Linked DNA regions of Yarrowia lipolytica. The protein of the gene in region 2 purifies or fractionates together with the protein of the main gene of each other region. This does not show direct contact. Links are inferred from orthologs where the notes say so. Each region holds a gene or a part of one and is shown on either strand. Other genes may lie near its edges. The genes, in order: YALI1_C19500g, YALI1_C03582g, YALI1_E04790g and YALI1_C20180g.

Evidence for each region.
Region 1: the proteins of YALI1_C03582g (region 2) and YALI1_C19500g purify together in Saccharomyces cerevisiae (affinity purification with mass spectrometry; 3 studies listed by BioGRID, with this or other methods). This does not show direct contact. The link is inferred for Yarrowia lipolytica from reciprocal best matches to the Saccharomyces cerevisiae genes SUA7 and HRP1.
Region 3: the proteins of YALI1_C03582g (region 2) and YALI1_E04790g purify together in Saccharomyces cerevisiae (affinity purification with mass spectrometry; 3 studies listed by BioGRID). This does not show direct contact. The link is inferred for Yarrowia lipolytica from reciprocal best matches to the Saccharomyces cerevisiae genes SUA7 and CFT1.
Region 4: the proteins of YALI1_C03582g (region 2) and YALI1_C20180g purify together in Saccharomyces cerevisiae (affinity purification with mass spectrometry; 3 studies listed by BioGRID, with this or other methods). This does not show direct contact. The link is inferred for Yarrowia lipolytica from reciprocal best matches to the Saccharomyces cerevisiae genes SUA7 and PCF11.

What each region holds. Positions count from the first base shown.
Region 1 is NC_090772.1:1,947,726-1,952,840, forward strand, and holds YALI1_C19500g (uncharacterized protein), read right to left. Parts: upstream 3,142-5,115; coding exon 3,098-3,141; intron 2,295-3,097; coding exon 854-2,294; downstream 1-853. Other genes in the region: YALI1_C19510g (uncharacterized protein), read left to right, coding at 3,287-4,687. UniProt on the Saccharomyces cerevisiae protein: RNA-binding protein, which is involved in the polyadenylation-dependent pre-mRNA 3'-end formation and cooperates with the cleavage factor CFIA complex and the cleavage and polyadenylation factor (CPF) complex.
Region 2 is NC_090772.1:356,335-360,291, reverse strand, and holds YALI1_C03582g (uncharacterized protein), read left to right. Parts: upstream 1-2,058; coding exon 2,059-3,033; downstream 3,034-3,957. Other genes in the region: YALI1_C03596g (uncharacterized protein), read right to left, coding at 1-620; YALI1_C03550g (uncharacterized protein), read right to left, coding at 3,326-3,957. UniProt on the Saccharomyces cerevisiae protein: General factor that plays a major role in the activation of eukaryotic genes transcribed by RNA polymerase II.
Region 3 is NC_090774.1:474,147-481,147, forward strand, and holds YALI1_E04790g (uncharacterized protein), read right to left. Parts: upstream 4,913-7,001; coding exon 1,103-4,912; downstream 1-1,102. Other genes in the region: YALI1_E04744g (uncharacterized protein), read right to left, coding at 1-337; YALI1_E04795g (uncharacterized protein), read left to right, coding at 5,403-6,119; YALI1_E04807g (uncharacterized protein), read right to left, coding at 6,183-6,632. UniProt on the Saccharomyces cerevisiae protein: RNA-binding component of the cleavage and polyadenylation factor (CPF) complex, which plays a key role in polyadenylation-dependent pre-mRNA 3'-end formation and cooperates with cleavage factors including the CFIA complex and NAB4/CFIB.
Region 4 is NC_090772.1:2,015,649-2,020,698, reverse strand, and holds YALI1_C20180g (uncharacterized protein), read left to right. Parts: upstream 1-2,091; coding exon 2,092-2,250; intron 2,251-2,686; coding exon 2,687-4,153; downstream 4,154-5,050. Other genes in the region: YALI1_C20198g (uncharacterized protein), read right to left, coding at 1-91, 776-833. UniProt on the Saccharomyces cerevisiae protein: Component of the cleavage factor IA (CFIA) complex, which is involved in the endonucleolytic cleavage during polyadenylation-dependent pre-mRNA 3'-end formation and cooperates with cleavage factor NAB4/CFIB and the cleavage and polyadenylation factor (CPF) complex.

The DNA.
Region 1 (5,115 bases), about 1.6 Mb from region 2:
CAACTCTTTGGTTCCTACTTTTGCGACCCCTAGCACAATTTTTATCTAACAAATTCTAAGTAACTTCCCAACTAAAGTTCCTCTCACCAGCTCCCATCGATGGTATTCATTTCAAGTCGTTCAACAATTCCCGTAGTGGCACATGATGGGTAGATGGAGAAGTAAAACGTTTCAGAACTGTTTCTGCTTTCTTAATATCGTCTGGAGTCCAAATTCAAGTTCCGATACTATCCTCAAAACGTGCCCTCTGACTGAACGGGGATAGGGTGAATGGGAAGCCCAATTTGAGGATTTCTCGATGGATAACTTATACAATGCACTCATAGGTCGCAGTCATTGATACATATGGCGATATAGATGCTGTATTACAGACAATTCACTACTCAGGTCGATGGTAAGTCGTATGGCAAGATGGTAAGTGGGGCGGCAAGAAGTCCGATGGCTAAGTCTGGGCAATAGTTACCATTAGTGATAATACTGTGACAATCCTGAGAGACATTGAATGGAACTCTCCCATGACTCGTTTAGAATCCATTCTCCTCCTCTCCTCGTTCTTGCAATACAGTATGTCACGGGCTGTTCACATGTCGAGAGACTCTGAAGGTCCCTGAAGTCTCTCAGAGCTGGATGGAGTCTATCAAGCCACCTCCATGTCTCGATGATACATGTTTCTCAACTCTGGTATCCCCTGGCAGACGTTTAACTCCAACTCTCCTATACATCAATTCATAACATTTATTTAACTATTCTGAGTCGCCATTCCTAGCATGTGAAACTCATACGGGCCGGTACCGGCAAAGTCAGCTCGTAGCGATGGTAGCGTTTCATTCCATCGCCCCACCCTCCAACCATATTAATCTCTTCGACCCTGCTGTCGATCTCGGCTCCCTCCGTAAGGATGGTAACCTGGGGCTCGTCCGCCGTCTCGTCGATCTCGTCCTCGACCTCCTCCATGCCGTCGCCCTCTCTGTCGGCCGTCTCGAGGGCCAGTGGGCACTCCGGGAGACCGAGATCGTCGGTCAGACTGGTTGTAACCCCGGCCCCGTCGGCCAGAACGGTCGTCTCGGCCACGATCGACTCGCCGCATCTCATTGTCGTCACTCGACTCATCGTTGTGGTGGTCCCGCTCTCTCGACTGCTGGTGGTGGTTGTCTCTCTGCTGATGGCTTTGGCCCTGAGGCTGCTGCTGCTGCTGCATCTGGGCCATCATCTGGGCCATCATGGCTTGCTGGGCTTCGGGGTCGGCCGCAGCGCCTCCCTGCATCTGCTGTACCTGCTGCATGTATTGCATGTACTGCTGCCACCATTGGGTCATGGCCTGGGGGGTCATGCCACCGTAGGAGTTCTGGGCAGGAGCGGCGGCGGCATCTGCAGTACCTCCGTGGCTGTGATTGTTGTTGTAGTTGTGGTTGCCGCCTCCATGGGAAGGTCCCGCAACTGCATTGGCCACTGCGGAAGCGCCGGCACCCTTGGACCGGTTCTCGGCTCGCTTGACCTCAATGGGCTTGTCCTTGAGAATCAGCAGGGGCTGGGCCAGAATGGTGTTCATGGCCTGCTCGGAGTCGAACGTGACGAACCCGAATCCCCGAGGCCGGCCAGAGTCCTTGTCAATCATGAGCTGAGCGTCAATGACGGTGCCGTACTGCTCAAAGAACTGCTTGTAGTCCTCTTCGGTGACATCGGAGCCCACTCCGCCCACGAAAATCTTACTGGTCTTGTCCTGCTCTTCTCGAGGGATAGCTCGCTTGGGATCGATGATCTTTCCGTCAAGGTAGTGCTCCTTGGCCATGACTGCGTTCACACACTTGGGGTCTCTGAAGGTGAGAAATCCGAATCCACGAGACTTGCCGGAAAAGTGATCGCGCATGACAGTGCATTCCAGCACCTCGCCAAACTGCGCAAAGTAGTTGGTCAGCGACTCGTCGGTGGTTTCCCAGTTGAGACCTCCAATGAACATCTTACCCTCGTCCTTGGGAGGGATGACAATGTTTCCCAGAGCGGCATTTCCATCCGACCGGTAAACAAGATCGCCGTTGGGTCCGGGCATGGCTGCTGCGACTGCCGCAGCCATCTCGGCGGGGATAGAGGGAGCCGCAGGAGCCACAGGAGCGGCGGCAGCAGGGGCAGCTGCGGCGGCGGGTGCAGTGGGAATGGCAGCGGCAGCAGGAGCTGAGGGAGCAGCAGCCAATCGAGGATCAGCAGTGGGAGCGGCGGGGGTGGCCGCAGCGGGAGCTACCGGCGTGGGGATGTTGTCCTCCGCCTTGGGCTCAACCTTGGCAGGTTTATCCTCGGCGCTGGGTTAGTATTGGTAGCAGAAGGCCGTGGGAACTCCTAGTTGGTACTCGTACAACTCCTAGAGACGATGATTTTGTAGTCACGAGCTCAAATATGTCAAGGATGTTGGTCTGGAGTGTGAGAGGAGAGGTATATGGTGCGGAGAAGGGGACGAATGTGGTCTGAAAAATGGACATCTAAAGGAAGATGGCGTCTAACGAGGAACTTGGAGAAGATTTATGATTGCATTCCAGTGCGTGGAATGACTGCTCAGAACACAGCTGGGGCAGATCTCAAGTATGTGCAGGATAAGCTAGGGGTAGAATGCTGGCTAGTGGAGATAGTCAAATGTTTTCATCGGTTCGTGTCTCGCTACTCCAGCAACCGCCGGAACAGTCTGTCTGCTCAACAGCAGTTGGGTCTTGTATCTAACTTACCCTTGGGTACTGGGTGACAGCCGTGGAGCAGTAAAAGTGAGTACAGAAGAGTCGTTATGGGCCCAATGGGGACAGGGAAGCTGGGCTATGCAAACTCGGCACAAGTCGATGGTGATCAGTTCCGAAATGGGTCTTCAGTCTGACCGTTGCAACTGATCTCCCTTTGACTGCTTTAACACCTCAGGAATCGGAACTCTCCCTGGTCAACCCACCCCTCCAACCATCCTTCCAACCACCCTTCCGACCACTAATACCATACATCTAGATTGTGCAAGTACATCTCTGGCAACTCTCCCTCCACCCCCACACAAAACAAAAGCCCTATATCCACCTAGATACTCTAAATACCTATCTGTGTCACGTCGCCGGTCGCGTGGAGTACTCACTAAATATCGTTGAGAAAATCGTCGTCGTCGTCGAGTCCAGACATGTTAACTATCTAGTCGCTATGTATGTGTGTGTGTGTGGTAGAGGAGAAAACCTCCCTCTGCGGTGTCACTATGCACTCTGTTTTACCCTAACCCATTCCCCCAATTGGGGAAAATATCGAAACGTCGTGTGTTCGATTCCTGTAAATGATTATGTTAAAAAAAAAGTCAAAGTCTAAAAAATATTTTGATAATGCGACTACTGATCTGAAAAAAAAAAAAAACACCACACAAACAGAAGCAATGAAGTACCTGCTGTTGCTGTCGCAAACGCACATGCAGTTTCGGCTGGCCGAACTCACCGCCCTGGCCCAGCTCGAAAATATCGCCGTTGACTTGTCGTCCCATGACGAGTCGTCTCCGTTCATGATTGTGGAGCTGGAGAACGACGAGGCTGCCAAAAAGCTGATTCGACGATCCGTGCTTGCCAAGTCCATCTACGAGCTTTGGGGCGGTCCAGCTGCGTCCATGGAGGAGCTTCACGAGCAGATCAAGACCCAGACCAGCCAACTGTGGCCCAAGTATGCCACCGACTCGTTCAAGTTTGAAATCATTGGATACCAATCTTCGCGACCCAAGGAGGAGTTTATCAAGATGGTGGAGGGGTTTTCATACATGGATTTCAAGGGAAAGATCAAAATGAAGTCGCCGGACCACGTGTTCACCATTCTGGAGGACTACCGAGTCATCGGGCAGAACCCCGAACCCGCTCCCGCGCGAATATTCTTTGGACGACACATTGCCAACTCCAACCGGAGTGCCATGGACACTTTTGATCTCAAGAAACGCAAATATATCGGCACGACGTCGTTTGACGCTGAATTGTCTCTTTTGACGTGCAATTTGGCGCATGTGAAGCGAAACGGGCTCATGTACGATCCCTTTGCCGGCACCGGATCGTTTCTGGTGGCTGCGGCAGCGTTTGGAGCTCTCACGGTGGGTTCGGACATCGATGTGCGCATGATCAGAGGCAAGGGTAAAGGATGCGATATTCCTGCCAACTTCAAACAGTACAACTCCGTTAACCGGCTTCTGGACGTTTTGGCGGTCGACTTCACCAACAACTCGTTCCGAAAGGGTCTCAAGTTCGATTCCATCGTCTGTGATCCTCCCTACGGAGTTCGGGAGGGTCTCAAAGTCCTGGGAGTGCGAGAGGAGGACGTTGAGAAGAAGAAGCATCTGGAAACGACTCTGGTGGACGGTCAGCTGGCGCATACTCGTCGAGATTACATTCCTCCAAAGAAGCCGTTTGAGTTTGGAAAGATGATGGATGCTCTGTTGAGTTTCTCGGCTGAGCGACTTGTTGAAGACGGCCGGCTCGCCTTCTGGATGCCCACCGCCAACCAGGACTACACAGACGCCGAGATTCCTCTCCATGAGGATCTAGAGCTCATCTGCAACTGTGTGCAGGACTTCAACCAGTGGTCGCGACGGTGTTTGGTGTACAGGCGACGAAAGGAGGGCGATAAGGGCGAGTTGAGAAAGACTGAAGGCGGTAAGGCTGAGGACTTTCGAGTCAAGTACTTCAAGGGGTTCAAGAATGAGTAAAGGTGTGAGAATGAGCTATATAGATGGTAATGCATGGTTATTGGAGACTGAAAATTGGTTTTATTTTCGTTATTTTGGTAATGCATGGTTATGGGTGACTTTTGGGACTGGTAATTGGTTTTATTTCCATGTTTTTTGTTTTATTTTCGTTTTATTTCGTTTTATTTTGTTTTATTTTGTTTTTTTTATTCTATAATATTTTATTAATAATCGTAATATTCCTGCTGACCGCTCTTCCGATCTATCCTTAAAGTTTAGTTAAAAAAGCTCCGTTTTAGTTGACCCAATACTTTGTAGTTACTTACACTGCTTCGCCAAAACAACACTCTCCAACTCACCCAGGACCACTCCTATCGTAAAAAGGAGAATATTGCCGGAATCTCCAACACCACCTGTCTCCACCAAACCCGTCCTCATCGCCTCTCGCC
Region 2 (3,957 bases):
GTCACCTCGTCGTACATCTGCTGCACCAGTTCATTCATGATCTTGGTTCTCTTCACAGCCAGGTCTTTTCCAGGCCCCGTTTTCATGGTCTTGTGTAAATGCAACAGCTTTTCGTCAAAATGCATCATGGCGTCTTCTCCCTCATCATCTGTAGTAAGAACCAACGGTCTGTCCTTAGCTCCAGAGTAAGCAGCCACTCGTAGAATTCCAATGGCTCCAATGGCATCCAATCTATCCGCATCTTGGACCACATGTAACTCCACACATTCGTCGTGCCACTGGCCCCATTCACCGGTCTTTCGCAGCTTTTTTTCGGTCGAATAGCTCATGTTGGTGGCAATCTTGAGCACCAGATCTTGCTGCTCTGGCGATAGACCCGAGTCCGAAAGACAACTCATCATGATACTCTGTCCGTCGCTCAATTGGGTCTGGTACTTGTGGTCGTTGACGTCGTGCAACAGAGCTGCGACCTCGACAACCTGGAGATCGACCGTCTGGCTCTGGGCTACTTTGCGACCCAGGACTTTGGCCAACCGAACAACTCGATCCACGTGATTCATGTCATGAGACGGATCGAACTGCGCCATATGTATGGCAACTCGTGAATGGATGGTAGACATGGGAGACGGGAGAATTGATGCACTAAAGAAGGATGGCAAAGTCGCACAGTCGTGTCACGGCTTTACGCGCTCGCTAGTCTCGATTTAGTGTGGATAGTGCTGTGTGGTTTGTCAGCATCATGTCAGGTTCATTTGGCGTTGGGAGATTGGTGCTTAAATTAAGTAAAAAGGTGAAAAATTGGCGGGGAAAAAATGAAAAATACTGAAAACACTGAAAATACTGAAAATACTGAAAATACTGAAAATACTGAAAATGTAGAAAATACTGAAAATACTGAAAATACTGAAAATACTGAAAATACTGAAAATACTGAAAATGTAGAAAATACTGAAAATACATAAAATATAGAAAAATGCAGAAGAAAAAAAAAACCTGTACTTTCAGCGTGATGGGGGGATAGAAGAGAATTTAAAACATGTACTACTTGTAGTAGAGGAATGGGAGAGATATTCTACATTGTAATATCTATAGTGGAAGTGAGGATACCTTCTGACTTGTTTTTAACGAGTCTTGTATCTAGTCTCCATGGAACAGTGAGTGATACTGGAGATAGTTTTCACATCAACAACTGGAGATCAAAGAACCAATATGGGTTTCTGAATCATCTAGATACTTATCCTGCCGTTTAATATGGCATTCATGCTATCAAATCGGCTGTAGAAGTTTCGCAGATGGATATCTCTACTCTTGGGTACAGTGTACTCTGTTTGGACTGTGGAGTGTTCCTCAGTAAAGATACTCAACTTAGTTGGACTCCACTTGACATTATACTTCACGCCCGTTCCATCCATGACATTCCATGAAGTTCCACCATACTCCCATACTGGTACATTTACTGGAGATCAGTACCACTGAGGACCCTATTTATACCCCCACAATCCCCGTCGACACTCCCCCTTCCCCATTGTGTCTTCCACAATCCCCATACACCTGGACCTCCATATTTCTCCGTGTCCCGGTGGCGAGCATAAAGTAAGCTTTTTCAGGCCCATGATCTCCAACTGCACCACAGTGCCAGACCCAGCAACAGCACCATCAGTGTCGAGTAACGGTACGAGGAGACACAAAGTGGAACACCCCCTGGCGACCAGAGACACAAGCAGAGCCATACAGATCGGGACAGACAGACAGAGGCAGCTGTGACACGAACGAAAAATAGACCAAACGATTGGAATAACGAAAAGCAGAACACCAACCAAGAAAAGCAGAGATAACCAAGTCCTTCCCACTGAAAAAGAAAAAGAAAAAGAAAGAAAAAGAAAAACAACCCGGCCGGCCTATCGCTTCCACTTTGCATCACCATCACCGATCATCTACCACCTACTGATTGACCACCAGCATCATCTTCCTTCATACACAGCCTAACACCTCGACCGAGAAACAGGCAGATACCCTTGCATTAAAACAACACCCTCCATTTTACATCCATCTCACGAAATGTCCTTCCAACAAAACCTCAACGTGACACTCATGTGTCCCGAGTGCAAAATCCTGCCACCAGACATTGTGGAACGGTTCGCGGAGGGAGACATGGTCTGTGGCCAGTGTGGTCTGGTCCTCTCTGACCGAGTGGTTGATACCCGGTCTGAATGGAGAACCTTCTCCAACGACGACCAGGGCTCCGACGACCCCTCGCGAGTGGGAGACGCCATGAACCCTCTGCTGGAGGGCTCCCAGCTCAACACGATAATCTCGTTTGGAGCTCCGGGCTCGTCGGTCGGCAGAGACCTCAACCGAACCCAGTCGCGGTCTCTGCAGGACAAGAAGGACGCGGCTCTGTCAGCCGTGTATGCCAAGATTTCCCAGATCTGCGACGGTATTTCGCTACCCCGAGTGGTGTCCGACGCCGCCAAGGAGGTCTACAAGCTGGTTCATGACGACAAGCGACTGCGGGGAAAAACCCCCGACGCCATCATCGCCACCGTCATTTTCATCGCTTGTAGACACGCCAACGTGCAGCGAACCTTCCAGGAAATCGGAGCTCTGACCAACGTGTCCAAGAAGGAGATTCGACGAACTCTAGAGCTCATGAAACGGCTGCTCGAGGGAACCAATATCCAGGCGTTCCGATCCACCCAGACCAACCCCGGTGCTCTTATGCCCCGATACTGTTCCCATCTGGGACTCAATTCACAGGTGGCCAACCTGGCAGAAGACATTGTCAAGCGAGCCAAGGAAATCGGTACTCTGGACGGCCGTTCGCCCATTTCAGTTGCTGCCGCAGCTATTTACATGGCAGCTGCACTATATGGAAATGACATGAGTGCACAGAGAGTCAGTGAGAAGACGGGAGTGAGTGACGGAACTATCAAGACGTCGTATAAGCATTTGTATGAGGCGAGGGAGAAGCTGGTGAGTAAGCAGTTGCTGGATTCGGGCAAGGTTTCTTTTGAGACGTTGCCCAAGGTGTAGAACACTCATGAACGAAACCAGTGTGTGTTCTACGACGGACTAGGAGGTTGTGAGCTAGCCTCACGTAGGTATTCCGGCGAAGCGGCTTTCCTAGACCGGCATCCGAGAGTGCTTGCTCACAGTCGTGGGTATTATCTTGTCCGTAATACAGCCACGTCCAAGACTTAGAGAGTGGAGTTACATGAAAACATAGAAAACGAATTGGAATTGTATTATTTTGATGAGCTGTGGAGTTGTACCGCATTTAAACACCTGATCATTTCATTACACGTTATCATATACTTGTTCGTAGTTAGACCTTTGTCTCGACGACATTGTCTTTCTGGCAGGACTTTTCAGAACCGAGGTCTTGGTTCTCATCATCGTTTCTCTCGGTCTCTTTCTTGTTGGTATTTCCAAAGACAACACCCTTGACTCTCTCTTCCATCTGACTAAGATCGACATTAGGAAGAGTGACGGCAAAGAGGATCAGAGCTCCTCCAACAATGACTGGGCCGTAGAGCAGGTGTCTGTAGACGTTGTTGAAAGCTGCAATGATGGCGGTTCTCTCCTCAGAGCCCCAGGCGTACTTCAATGGAGCATTGACATTGTTGACCATGGTGTCAATGTCTTTTTCCGAAAGGAACGGAGCGTAGTCTGCCAGTCTTTTGGGATACTGTTGTCTGTACATGGAGCCTGAAATGGCGTCTCCAATGACTCCTCCTACAGAGATTGAGGAGTAGAAGATGGCAGTCGCTGCTACCACCTGTTTGTGGGATACCACGGCCTGAATGAGAACCAGCACCGGATACTGGATCATTCCTGTTCCCAGTCCTTCAATGACTTGCGCAATGATGAATTGGGCCAGCGAGTTGTCCGGTTGTCGGTATCTGTAGGTGAGCCCCAGACCCAGCATGTACAGACACCCTCCCAGAATGATTGTTG
Region 3 (7,001 bases), on a different chromosome or scaffold from region 2:
TAGCAGGAGCTCCAAACAACACGAGAAGGCCGAAGATGATTACCGAGAAGAACACTGACAACGCAGCAGCAATCATAGCAGTAGACACATCGGTTCCGATCTTTCGGCCAGGCTTGTTACCCAACACAACAACGCAGTAGCCCATATGTAACAGCAGCAGACCGGGAAGTGCCTGTGTCATGACCTTAGCAGGGTCATGTGTGATGCCAGCGGAGAAGATGAACCGCAGGTACACCAGCAAAAGCGTACCGTAGACAACTGCTAGAACCTGAGAAGGTCCACTGGGAACGTGAGCCGGGCCATTGGCCTTGGTCTTGGCAGCTTTCCGAGTAGCCATGTCGAAGATGGTTTCTGGTTAAGAAGTTTTGATTTGGTGACGAAGGTTATGCAGGTTGCGTACATATGCACTCATCGAACTGTATGGCGGGGGGTGGCATCGACACCTGATGACGTAACAAGGCGCGTTTTTCGATACGAAAGCGAAGCGTGGATTTCTTTCTAACGCGGTTGGCTCCTTTCGTGAATCAATCTTAGTCTGCTTCTATTAACAACGGGATATAGAAATACCCAGTACATTGGAATTTCCAGCCAACTTGGTAGTTAGCTTATCGCAGATTTTCAATCAGCTTGATCATATACAGTATACGTATTGGATAGCTTTGACGGGGAATAGGGATAAGGTCTGTTTGTATGGAATGCGTTTTTCACAGTATGTACTATACAGTAGCCTCCTATCTGTTTGCCTTACGTTCTAATGTTCTCTTTCCCGGGGGTACCCAGCGAAGTATAGATCTGGAGGGCGATGCTCTGTTCCACCAGATCGGCAACTCGGCAGTGTAAAGCCACGTTGGGGAAGTACTGTAGCATGTTCTACGTTGTTGGGTATGCTTATGACCAACAGTCTACATACGGTCCATGGTGCCCGCTGGTATATCTCTACAACTGAAAAGAGTGGGGTGTTCTGTTCTCACTTAGGATGGTGCTATTTGTCGACAGCTGCTTAGCCTGGCAACTGGTATGTACTGTAGCTACAATACTGTAACTACAACTTATCTAAAAATACACTAATATTAAAATATACATTATTGTGTCATTGACAGACTCAAATACATTTCTTGAACAGGTCAGAGATGAGCTCAAGGTCCTTCCAGATCAACTGCTGATATCGCTGACCCAGACGGTTAGCATACACGTTCTGCTTGTTTCGGGGCAGGTTAGCAAATCGAATCAAGGTGTGGCCATCAAGAATAGGTCTGTGGGGACTGTTTCCAGTGCCAGGCAAGATGGGATCGTACCTGTAGGCTCTAGGATGTAACCCACAGACGTGGGCTTCCTTGTCGGTGATCTGAGTCTGGATGGCATAGAGACGTCTGTAGGCATCTTCAGGGCAAGGGACGACGTCAGTCACTGATCCATCACTGCACACACCAATCACCATGAATCGATCCTCGTTTATGGGTACCATGGCCGAGGAATCGATCACCTTTCCAGAGTAGAATACAGAACGTCTCAGGAGACGGGCTCCAGAGTACGACTGAGGGTCATCGGGGTCGTACTCGAGGATGTGCAGTCGTTTCTGGAGATCAGCCACAACAAATGTCAGGTTCTCACCCTCGATAGCAAAGTCACAGGTGGTAACCAACACCCTCTGCAGGTCACGGGCGAACGGGATCATCTGGTACGGGTCCATGGAGAACCCGACAAACTGGACAGATCGGGTGGCATCACCGAGCAGAAGCATGGAGTTCAGACTCTTGGCAACGGCCACGTAAGTCTGCATATCGAGGAAAGCAACAGGAACGAGGGTAAGGTCATCCTGAAGAGCCTGTACAAGCAGCTTCTGGCCCTGGACAGCTAGAAGACGACCAGATACCTCGCAGACAGCAGTGAAGGCCCCACGGACACGGTCCTGAACCAGCTTCTTGAGTCGTCTATTGGTCTCGGGTCGTTCCTTCTCAGGAACAATCTCAATGACATCAAAGAGGTACAGAGCACCTCGAGCAGCGAGATCCTCACCTCTAAGAATGGAGGTTCCGACAGCCACCACCTCCCGCTTTTGTGACTTTCTATCAGAGATGGACAACTTGACAGACTCGCAACAGAGGGCCGCTTCAGCGGGCATCTCGAACTCATAGGAGTCAATGACAGTCCACGAATAAGGGTTGACGATGCGAATGGCACCCTGATAGGTAGTGGCAGGCATGATGTCTGGTGTAAGACTCTCGATCACCTCGTCGTCTTCATCACGGACAACATGGGGAACTGTCTTGTGAGTAGCAATGACATAAACGTCCATGGTCTCGTGATATGTGACTTTGGAAATGGTCTCTCCGCAGAGCTGGACATGCTTCACGGGCCAATTGGTCTCGAGAGAAAAGCTAGGGTCGAATCTGCACTCGGCCACCTCTCCCGCTTGCGTCAAGTAAGCAAATTTTCCGTCCCAGGAAGTGAAAGCAACTGCGCCCTTAGTCTCACCGAACTCGATTAGTCGCGGAGAAGTATGCAAAGTCTTGACTAAGATGTACGCGGTTTCACCAGTCACTCCAAGTGTGTGTTTTCCGTTAATAAGAGGGACTTGGGTAAGTCGTCTATCGGAGTTGATTGTAGGGGTTCGCTCAAGGAAGATCTTTCGGAACCTCAGCTTGTCATTGTAGTGATAAGGCTCATAAACGACAAGCTGCTGAGGAGTGAGGAGAACCAGGTAGTCCCGAAGAATATGATCGTCTCCAAGGGGACTCAATGCGATGTCCACAAGTTCAAGAGGGGCATCATAGAGCTGACCGTCCTTCTCTTTGATGAAGCCAGACAGATCAGAAGCATCTAGAATGAGACGATCGTCGGAATTCAGACCTTGGAGCAGAAGAGACCCATCCGCGTAGCACACAACAACAACAGGTCGCGAGTCTTGAGCGGGAGATCCCTGGCGTGTACGTTTCTTGCTTGGTGCACCGAAAGTAAGGGAGGAGTCAGTGGCGTAGATACCGATGGCCTTGGACTCACTGGCAGGCTCGATAGAGACCTGCGCAGCCTTCAAGAATGGTCTCTTGTTGATGCTCACGGCCTCCAATATCTTCACCTGGCCATCAGACAGCAACACAAGCACGTAGTTGCCCAGTACACGAGCCTCCACGGCTGTAGTACCTTGGGGCAGGGAGTATTTGTGGGGCTGTCCGATCTTGGCGTCGTAAATGTTGACAGTTTCCAAACAGACCTGGAGGAGCGCCGAATCCAGCATTGAAGAAGAAAAGATTGTGGTGACATTCGAAACAAAATGCTTCTTGGTCTTCTTCTTCTTGGTACTGAGAGAAACGTCTTCAATAACCCCAGCGGCATCAACATAGTACAGATATGAGTTCTCACTGTCAGACGAGACAACATAAGTTCGAGATTTGGCAACCTCCCCTTCCTCCTCAAAACGCACGGGTACTGACCAGAACTGGCCTCCCGGCATGTCCTTATACAAGGACTTGCGTTTGTATGGCATCAGTGCGCTTGTGAGAATGGCCAGAGCAGAGTTTGCACCGACACCTGTAGTAGTGACAAACTCAACACCTTGACTGCCTCTATTCTTGCCCAAAGCCAGCGATTGCATGGGTCCCATACCAAGCATGCGGTCGGCCAGACGTAGCTTCAATGGACGATTGGTAGTGTCCTCTGTTTGAGCTGTGTCACCGCCATAAAGATCATCGTCAGACTCGTTTCCGTCATCTAGAGTCTCCTCGGGCTGACTTTCTGGCTCACCATGGTACCACTTGACTAAGAGCGAATCTCCAGCTCGAGATCCAAGGAAAATAGTTCCATCAGGCCCAGCTGCAACAGAGGAAGGCTGGGATAGGATGAAGTTGTCTGGCTCAATAGGTCGCAGTTCGAGACTAGCCACACGTCTACCATCCTTGTTGAACAGCAGACTGAAAAACTGGCCATCTTCTGTCACCAAGAGGGCGGTATTGCCCAACTCCTGGATGAAGCAGACCTCAGCACCTTCCAGTCGCAGGTCAAGAGTCGACTGGTCCCTCGATACGATGAGATCAGAGTTTTGTCGATGTGTGTTGTTGACCATGACACCTGTGTAACTAGCCGAGGAGTCGATGTAGAGAATGGTGTTGGCGCAGATGATAAGTGAGCCACCAAGAGGAGCAGGCAGAGGAATGACCTTCTGGGCATCCACTGGCAGGCCATTCAAGGTACCAATTACGGTGGAGTTCTTCTGATGGACGTCGACACTGACGATAGCGTAGCTCACCGTGTCCTTGAGAATATTCTTCATACCCACCCATGCTCTCTTGGGCTGAAAAAGGATACCCATTGTCGTTTCTCGGTACTCGTGAAGGAAGCAGATATCCATCACGTTCTCGATACGTTTATCGAGCCTCGATGCCTTAACAATGAAGGAGGGATCAAATACCTGGCCACTTTCTGGCATCTCATCGTCATCAAGACCCTTCTCGATAATAGGCAGAAACGCCATTCGATCATTCTGGAACAGCAGACAGGTGTAGAACGAGTTCGCCTCATCTGATACAGCAACAGACGAGCACTCGGGCTCGAAGAAGTTGCTCTCGACCAAGCCTTTTTCGTAGTAATGCAGCGATTTGGTGTCGATGGTGAAACTGCTAGCATTCCATGCAACAATCACGGCCTTGGCATGCTTGACAGAGATGTAGAGCGAATCCAAATCGTAGTTGTCGATTGTCTTTATTCGGGTCACGCCCGTGACGGTTCCATCGAGGTAGTATTCGGTGATGAGCTCGAGTCGAGGAGCTTCATCCTTGGTAGGGATGTCGTCCTTGTATCGGAAGATCTGGAGCAGCTGCGAGCCCTTGACTAGCACCAGGTTCCTCTCGCCGGTGAAGTTGCACGACAGACTGTGAGTGACGGCGGTCGGCTCTGTCAGATTCTTGAAAATGTGCATGTCGTGCTACTGTGAGACAGTATATCCTGTAGTTCCAGATCGTGATGATTTCTTGGACTTTCAGAACCTTAAGTTTGGGAGTTCGGACGGGATGGTTGAAAGAGGTGTGACGAATATTGAGGGGATGTGTGATGTAAGGGCAATAGTTTTGAAACGAAAAGGCATTTAAGAGAACTTCTGGATATTGAGTCGTGACTGGATGAGCCCTGTGTCCAGATGTTCCTTACGAATCGCACAGTGTTACTTACATTAGTTGAAATATGGAGCGGGTGGGTCGGGCAGTATTACGGCTACCGAGGTGGAGTGGGCCTATTTGACAGAACAGTATTTACTAAAGTCACTTGTTTTAGTGCAAGCTACCAAGCCGGGTATCCATCTCTACTGTGGCCCAGCATCACACCTATCGCCTCTTAATTACAAGCACTTTCCAACATGCATAACGAGGTAAATACTTGCAAGTTCAACATCAACCGCCACACTTTGCTAGATCATGCAACTCCCACCCGAACTGATTACACTAGTGGCGACTTTTCTCGACTTCAAGGACCTGTCTCGATTAACATGTGTCAACAAACACCTCTATGAACTGCTGGCAACTGACATCTGGAAAGACGTCTACTACTCTGCAGGCTACGTTCCCCCTCTACTAACATGTGCGCCCCTGATCCAGCATGTTCATTTCGACTCAGCAGTCACAACGATGTTCTTCAACCGAAAAAACTTCCCAGCAATCAAACAATTTTCTGTATCGTACTACGAGGATATAACTCCGTGGATAGGGTTGCCTGTGGGCACTGTGTTTCGCAACTGGAGGCGGGATCTGTATCAGCAGTTCTACCCCCAGCTAGCCGAGTATCTCAAGGCCCACGAAGTTACTCTTGCCAGCCTTTTGCTCTACGACCAGTCCTTTCTCTACTACTTCATTGAGGCAGACAGTTGTCACAAAATCGAGAGGTTACGATTCGACACCAACTTCACCGACACAGTTCTGTACCATGACAAGGTGTACCCTCCGATATTGCGACTAGCAATTGTTGAGAAGTTCATTCGCGCTGTAGAAGCTGCAGGGTGCAGACCTCCCTTTGATCGTGATCAAGGCAGCTTGTCATTTTGGAACCAGATTGAGGACATTGAGAGAGGTCCTGATGGTCCCATCATGCCACCGCTTCCAGCTGATTTTGGAGACTTGTCTGGTGAACGGACTTAATCGAGATCTACTGACCAATCGAATCGTTGTCGTGCATTGTCATTATATAAAGATGGTGAAGATTTACTCGTCTTTCACGACAGGCTTGGGAATGGGCTTTCGAAGGACATTTCCGACCTCGTTGAGCACATAGCTGGCCAGGAAAAGAACAGGGATGTGCAGAGGATTTCCAGCAGCCCATGTAAACTTGGTGCCTCCAAGGTTGAGCTGACCATAGACCACTGCCAGGAAGGCTACTCGCAGAACGGTCCAGGGAAGTCGACCAATGTAAGACGAGTTGGCGGGGGACCCGGGAGTGAACTGACACTGGTACTGGTTGCCAATTGAGATGAACAGAGATGCAACTGTGGCAGCAAGCCAAGTCTTGTTAGAAGTAGGCACCCGGGTACACATGAGATACGAGGCGTAAGCAGAGGCCAAAGTGCCCAGGCCGCCGACAATGGAGAACTGGACACCCTCGTCACCCTGGACGTTGAGGGTAGTTTCGTTGAGGTGATTGAGGATGAAGGACATGGTGTGCTAATCGATAGAAGATGAGATGAGCACAGTTGGAGATGATGTTTGAAGTCCTTTAGAGTTGTATCGTAGTCCAATTTCTGCATGTGAATATGCACCCCACAGAGACGTTTGAGTGCGAGTGCTGTAACGATTGGGACCTTTTGAGTATGGAGCTTTACTTCATTGGGGCGATGAGAAAGTCGCCTGTATGTCTCCCTGTTATATTTGAGCTTCCGTGTGTTTTTTCAAGTAAAATAATCGTCGCTATCATTAGCTACAAGCATCTCTTTCGGATGCTTGTAATAGGCGTTATAGACGTCGGGGTTTTGAAGGCAAGAATCTCAGTTGCCTTATAGCTGGTCATTCAGCTCAGCCATAGCCAGT
Region 4 (5,050 bases), about 1.7 Mb from region 2:
GCAGAAGTGATCTTACCATGGTTGGACATGAGTCGCTTGGCGATGGTGTCGACGGGGTGGAAGACGGCGAGCTCGGCAATACCGGCGGAGGCTGGGTTAGACAATGTCACGGCATGGGAGGATGATGCCACAAGGAGCAAATGTGTGGCTGGAGGGGTTATGAGAACGTATGGGGTGAAGAGTGTAGCGATGGAAGAATGGTGTTTGAAACCGGTCAATCAGTTGATCTGGACCCCTGAATGATCCGGTAGGAGCTCCACGGGTGAATTCACACTCTTCCGGGCCAGTCTACTTCCTATCAAACTTGCTTATTAACGCTCTAGTTGATTGGTTCCCTGAACCCAGCCGTACGACAATACGATCAACGTAATCAGGGTCACTGAGAGGTGCGGTCGCTGGGCAGAGTGCAACCTCGTCAAAGTGTCTTGAAATCAACCACGGGAACCCCACAAGCGCCACCACCTTTTCCCATATATCACCCAACACAAGAGCGCACACGGCTGAAGAGACACAAGGGCGTGTTTCCAGAAGCAAGGAACAGAAACATATCATCGCCGGCCGCTGATAAAAAGACGGGGTGTGTTTGGCGCCCTGGTTCTGTTATTTTTCAATCCCTCCTCGCGACCTTTTTGTGGTCATATTCACATGCCACATGGGTCTGCGGTGGTGCCATGGTGACCGAAAAAAGGCCGACACCGGCGCGCATCCCAAGCGACCGGCTGAGAGCCCGTCGTTTTCAGGGGTCCAGGCGCCCACACCCACATTCAATACTCACCAGAACCGAGAACTCGGGCAGCACCAGACTGCTTCTTATCGGACGAAATAGGAGCCATTTGTTGGACGGTAGCGATGGAGACTGGAGAAGTGCAAAAGGTGTGGAGGGAAAGCAGACACTGATATACAGTTTGGGTTTTTCACCAAGACAAAAATTCCAAAGTGAGTCAGGATGCAGCTCCGAAGTTTCTCCAGAGGGGCAGCGATTGGGAACCAACAGCCAAAGTATCAGCGCTCAAACCAGGGTGTGTCTTGTGTGCGCAGGGGGAGGGGAGGGAGTCACGTGGCCCACCGTCCCCGGATTGCTCGGGATAGGCCACAAACGCCTCCGTGACGGCGCTCGACGGACCTGTTGTGCTGCTCACCAACTGCGATGCTGGTCATACTGGCCCTGTCTATCACCCGACAATTACCGTGCGAGATCCGAAAGTTTCCGACGCTCGGCCAAAACGCGGACCCCCGCCTAATTATCCGGATAGCGCCCAACCGCGCAAAGATAGCAGAGGCGCGTGTGCCATGGGCGCTGCAAGGGCTGTTGTGGTGGCTTTTGCCGCCTCCTGGTTGGCCAGTTTCGGCAACTAAAATCTGATAACGTTGGTTAAAGTTTCAACTACAATAGTTGCTCAACGTGAGAAAGGTGGAGAAGCCAACGGTCGGGGTTTTCCGCGCCAACAAGGGCCAATTTCGGAGAAATGCGGTGATAAAGCGGGTCTTTTTGTGAGCGACAATTGATTGTGGACATTACGGGCTCGCGGCCATCGCATATCCCATCCATAATTCCGCCTCGTGCTACCTCGGCTCATTTCCGGAGAGCTAATCTCCACGAACTTTAATGGTCTACGTCAGAATCGAACGTACGATAACACTTGTAGTTGGTAAAAATTAAAAATAAATAAAATAAAAAATAAAAATAAAATAAAAATAAAAATAAAAAGAGCAGGAATCGAACTGGAGAGAGAGCAAAACTTGAAAAAATAAAATTAAAAAATTAAAAAAAATTAAAAAAAATTAAAAAAAAATGCCACCAGACAAGAGCCATACACTAAAAGTTGGAGGACAAGTACAAACAGCACGTACAGTACATTGTAGATATATAAAGGGTTAGGGGAGAAGTGGAAATGGGAGCGCAAGTTTGATGGATGGCTTTTTTCTTTTGTTCCTGCAATTCGCCGTTCAATTCGCACCGTGGTTGATAAGTCAGCACTCTTGCAACTTTGCTGGTCACATGACTAAATATTAAAGTTTTTTCAGGCCGTGCATCCATCTGCAAGACTCTTTCCTCCTCGTAGTATCAACGTCAGCGACACTATATATGTAATGTCCGAGCTGGATGAGATTCGAGAGGACTACCTGTACGCTCTGGAGGAGCTGACGGGGGTCCAGAAGCCCATCATCACCAACCTCACGGTGATTGCCGAGGAAAACAGACACGCTGCCAAGGCCATTACCCGAGCCATTGAGGAGCGAATAAGTAAGGTGAGTAGCGGAGGAACCACAATGAGGAGATGCCGACGACAAGGACGAGATCAAAGGACACAGAGCGACCTGAAAACACCGGTGCCGGCCACACGGTACGCCGACTCTTGCTCTATCCCAGTGACGGTGTTTAATAAGGCGTATGGTGTCATGTTGGTGATCATGTGCTGCGACTGTGGTTATGGGTGGCGTTAACATGAAGCTTGGGACAGGTTGACGATTGATTTTGCAACGTGGCACATGTATACAACCTCTGATCCATCGATTGGCTTGGTCCAACTCGTGTGATGGAGTTTGTATCTCCAGGCTGTCGTTATGTCTTCGAGACAACGATGTGATTAGTGACTGACGAGAGATCATACTGCGAATGACGACACATCAATAATCTTTTCCATATGCCACCGCCGCCTATATCTATCTCTACATACTAACCCAGTGCGCTCCAGAGTACAAGCTGCCAGCAATGTACCTGCTCGACTCCATCTGCAAGAACGTAGGAGCACCATACACAACCTGCTTCGGTATCAACTTGTACCGCACTTTTGCCGACACATACACCCAAGTTCCCGAATCGATCCGACGAAAACTGATCGAGCTGTACGGCACCTGGAAAACGTCGGCCACAGGCGGCATGCTGTTCCCAGCAGAACCCATGCGAAAGATTGCCTCTTTTCTGGAACGAATCAACGAAGTCACATCACGGGCCACGCCAAACCCCGCAACCCCCAACCTGGGCACCCCCAACCCCGCTACTCCACCTCTAGGCACTCCAGTTCTCGGCCAAGGAGGTTTCGGAGTGCCCAATGCGGGCCTGACACAACCCCAGCTGCTGGAGAAGTGCAGCCACGTGATCGACATGACTTCTGACCGTCTACAACATATTCCAGGCGACGTCGATGCCAAGGAACGGATTCCTGTCCTCAAACAGCTACAGGCCGTTCTTCAGTCCCAGGCCATTCCTGTGTCGTACCTGTCCAATATTGAGGCTCAATTGGCCTCTTCTCTAGCCCATGAGGAGAAGAAGCTTGCTGAATACGAAGAAAACGAGCGACTAAAGCAGCAGCAGCAGCAGCAGCAGCAGCAACAGCAGCAGACGACACCAAGCAACTTGCTAGCTTCCCTACAAGCCGCTGGCTTGTTAGCAGGAGGTATACCTGGTGGAATGCCTGGAATGCCTGGTATGCCTGGAATGCCTGGAATGCCGGCTATGCCTGGTATGCCTGTTCCACCCATGCCTATGCCTGGTATGCCTTTTCCCATGTTTCCTAACCTTGGTACTGTTCCTGCACCGGACATTAACTCTCTGTTGGCCTCTGGTGCCTCTTCTTTGCTGTCTTCCTTGGAGTCTAACGACGTGGAACTTTCTACGTCTTCTCTGCTGAAGCCTCGCCCCAATCTGGTATTCAACCTTTACGGCAAGATGCCCAAGGTGTGCAACATTTGTGGGCGGCGGTTCCGAGATAATCAGGACCATGCCCGTATGCAGCACATGGACTGGCATTTCCGAATCAATAAGAAGATGCGCCAGGACGAGGGACGAGCTCAGAACAGACGGTGGTACCTGGCCGAGCATTTGTGGGTGGCAGGAGAGCAAAAGGAGGAAAAAGAAGAAAAGGTGCAAAAGGTGGACATGGAAAGTGTCAAGAAACAATGGGTTCTGGCTCCCAGCAGTGCTTCTAAGAAGAAGCAGGTTTGTCCCATTTGCACAGGAGGCTTCAACACGGAACTCAGTGATGAAGCTGAGGACTGGGTGTGGACAGACGCGGTTCAGGTTGGAGATAAGATCTTCCATGCCACATGTTATGCTGAGAGTGGAAAGCTGGCAGAGAGCCTGGTGAGAAAGAGGAGAGGAGAAGATAGAGAAGGAAGGACAAAGAGGGAGAAGGTGGAGCTCGACTACTAATCCGAGCAACATCTCTCACCCTCCCTGATCAGGCCCTGGCTGCAGAAGAACCGCCAGCGCCATCAACAGAAACAGAAACAGAAACAGTCAGAAGATCCAGACCTTTTCTGACACACAATCGCATTCTTTGATACTAGATATTAAATAATAAAACGTGCGGGTATCTATCCGTATGATAACAAATGAAGTGGCACTAGTGTACAAGTACAAGTAGGTCAACAAGTAGATACAGCCAACTGGCCAGATAATCCTGTACATTTCGAGTAAGACGGACAACAAGGACGAAGCCCATGGCGTTCCGGAAGCCTGTTGAGATTTCTGAGCAAGCCACTGGTCCTGTTTGCGACAATTACAAATCAATAAACAAGTAATTGTACTTGTAGCCATTGGTCATCTAGATAATCAGACAATGACTGTTCTCTCTCTTTTCAGACTTTTCTTTCTTGGGTCTAGTGGAACTGAAAAATCGTGGAGGAGACTAAATCTGAGCTCTTTATATCGCTAGGGTGTCCGTTGATGGTTGCTAAGGGAGTTAATTACAGCATCTCCGTTGACTTGCATCTGTCTTTCTCTTTCTCGAGGCAGACTGCTATGTTCTCTGTTTCTCGGAGTTGGAAATGACGATTCTGACGGGCTCGTTTCCTGTCATGTCATCCTCGGACTGAGTCTAGACAAGTTCTGGAATGTAGTTTATAGCGAAAGAACAACTACTTGTACCATATTTCGACAGATAATTCCGTCTAATGGTGTTTTGCATCCAGCGTCACATTTGACATCTTGCACTATTGGCAATCTACGATCGAAATGCGCCACCTGCCACCTTGGCGGCTACCGCAGTCCGAAGAATACACTTTTGACAAGAGGAAAAAACAAATTCACCGAGACCCATTGACCGCG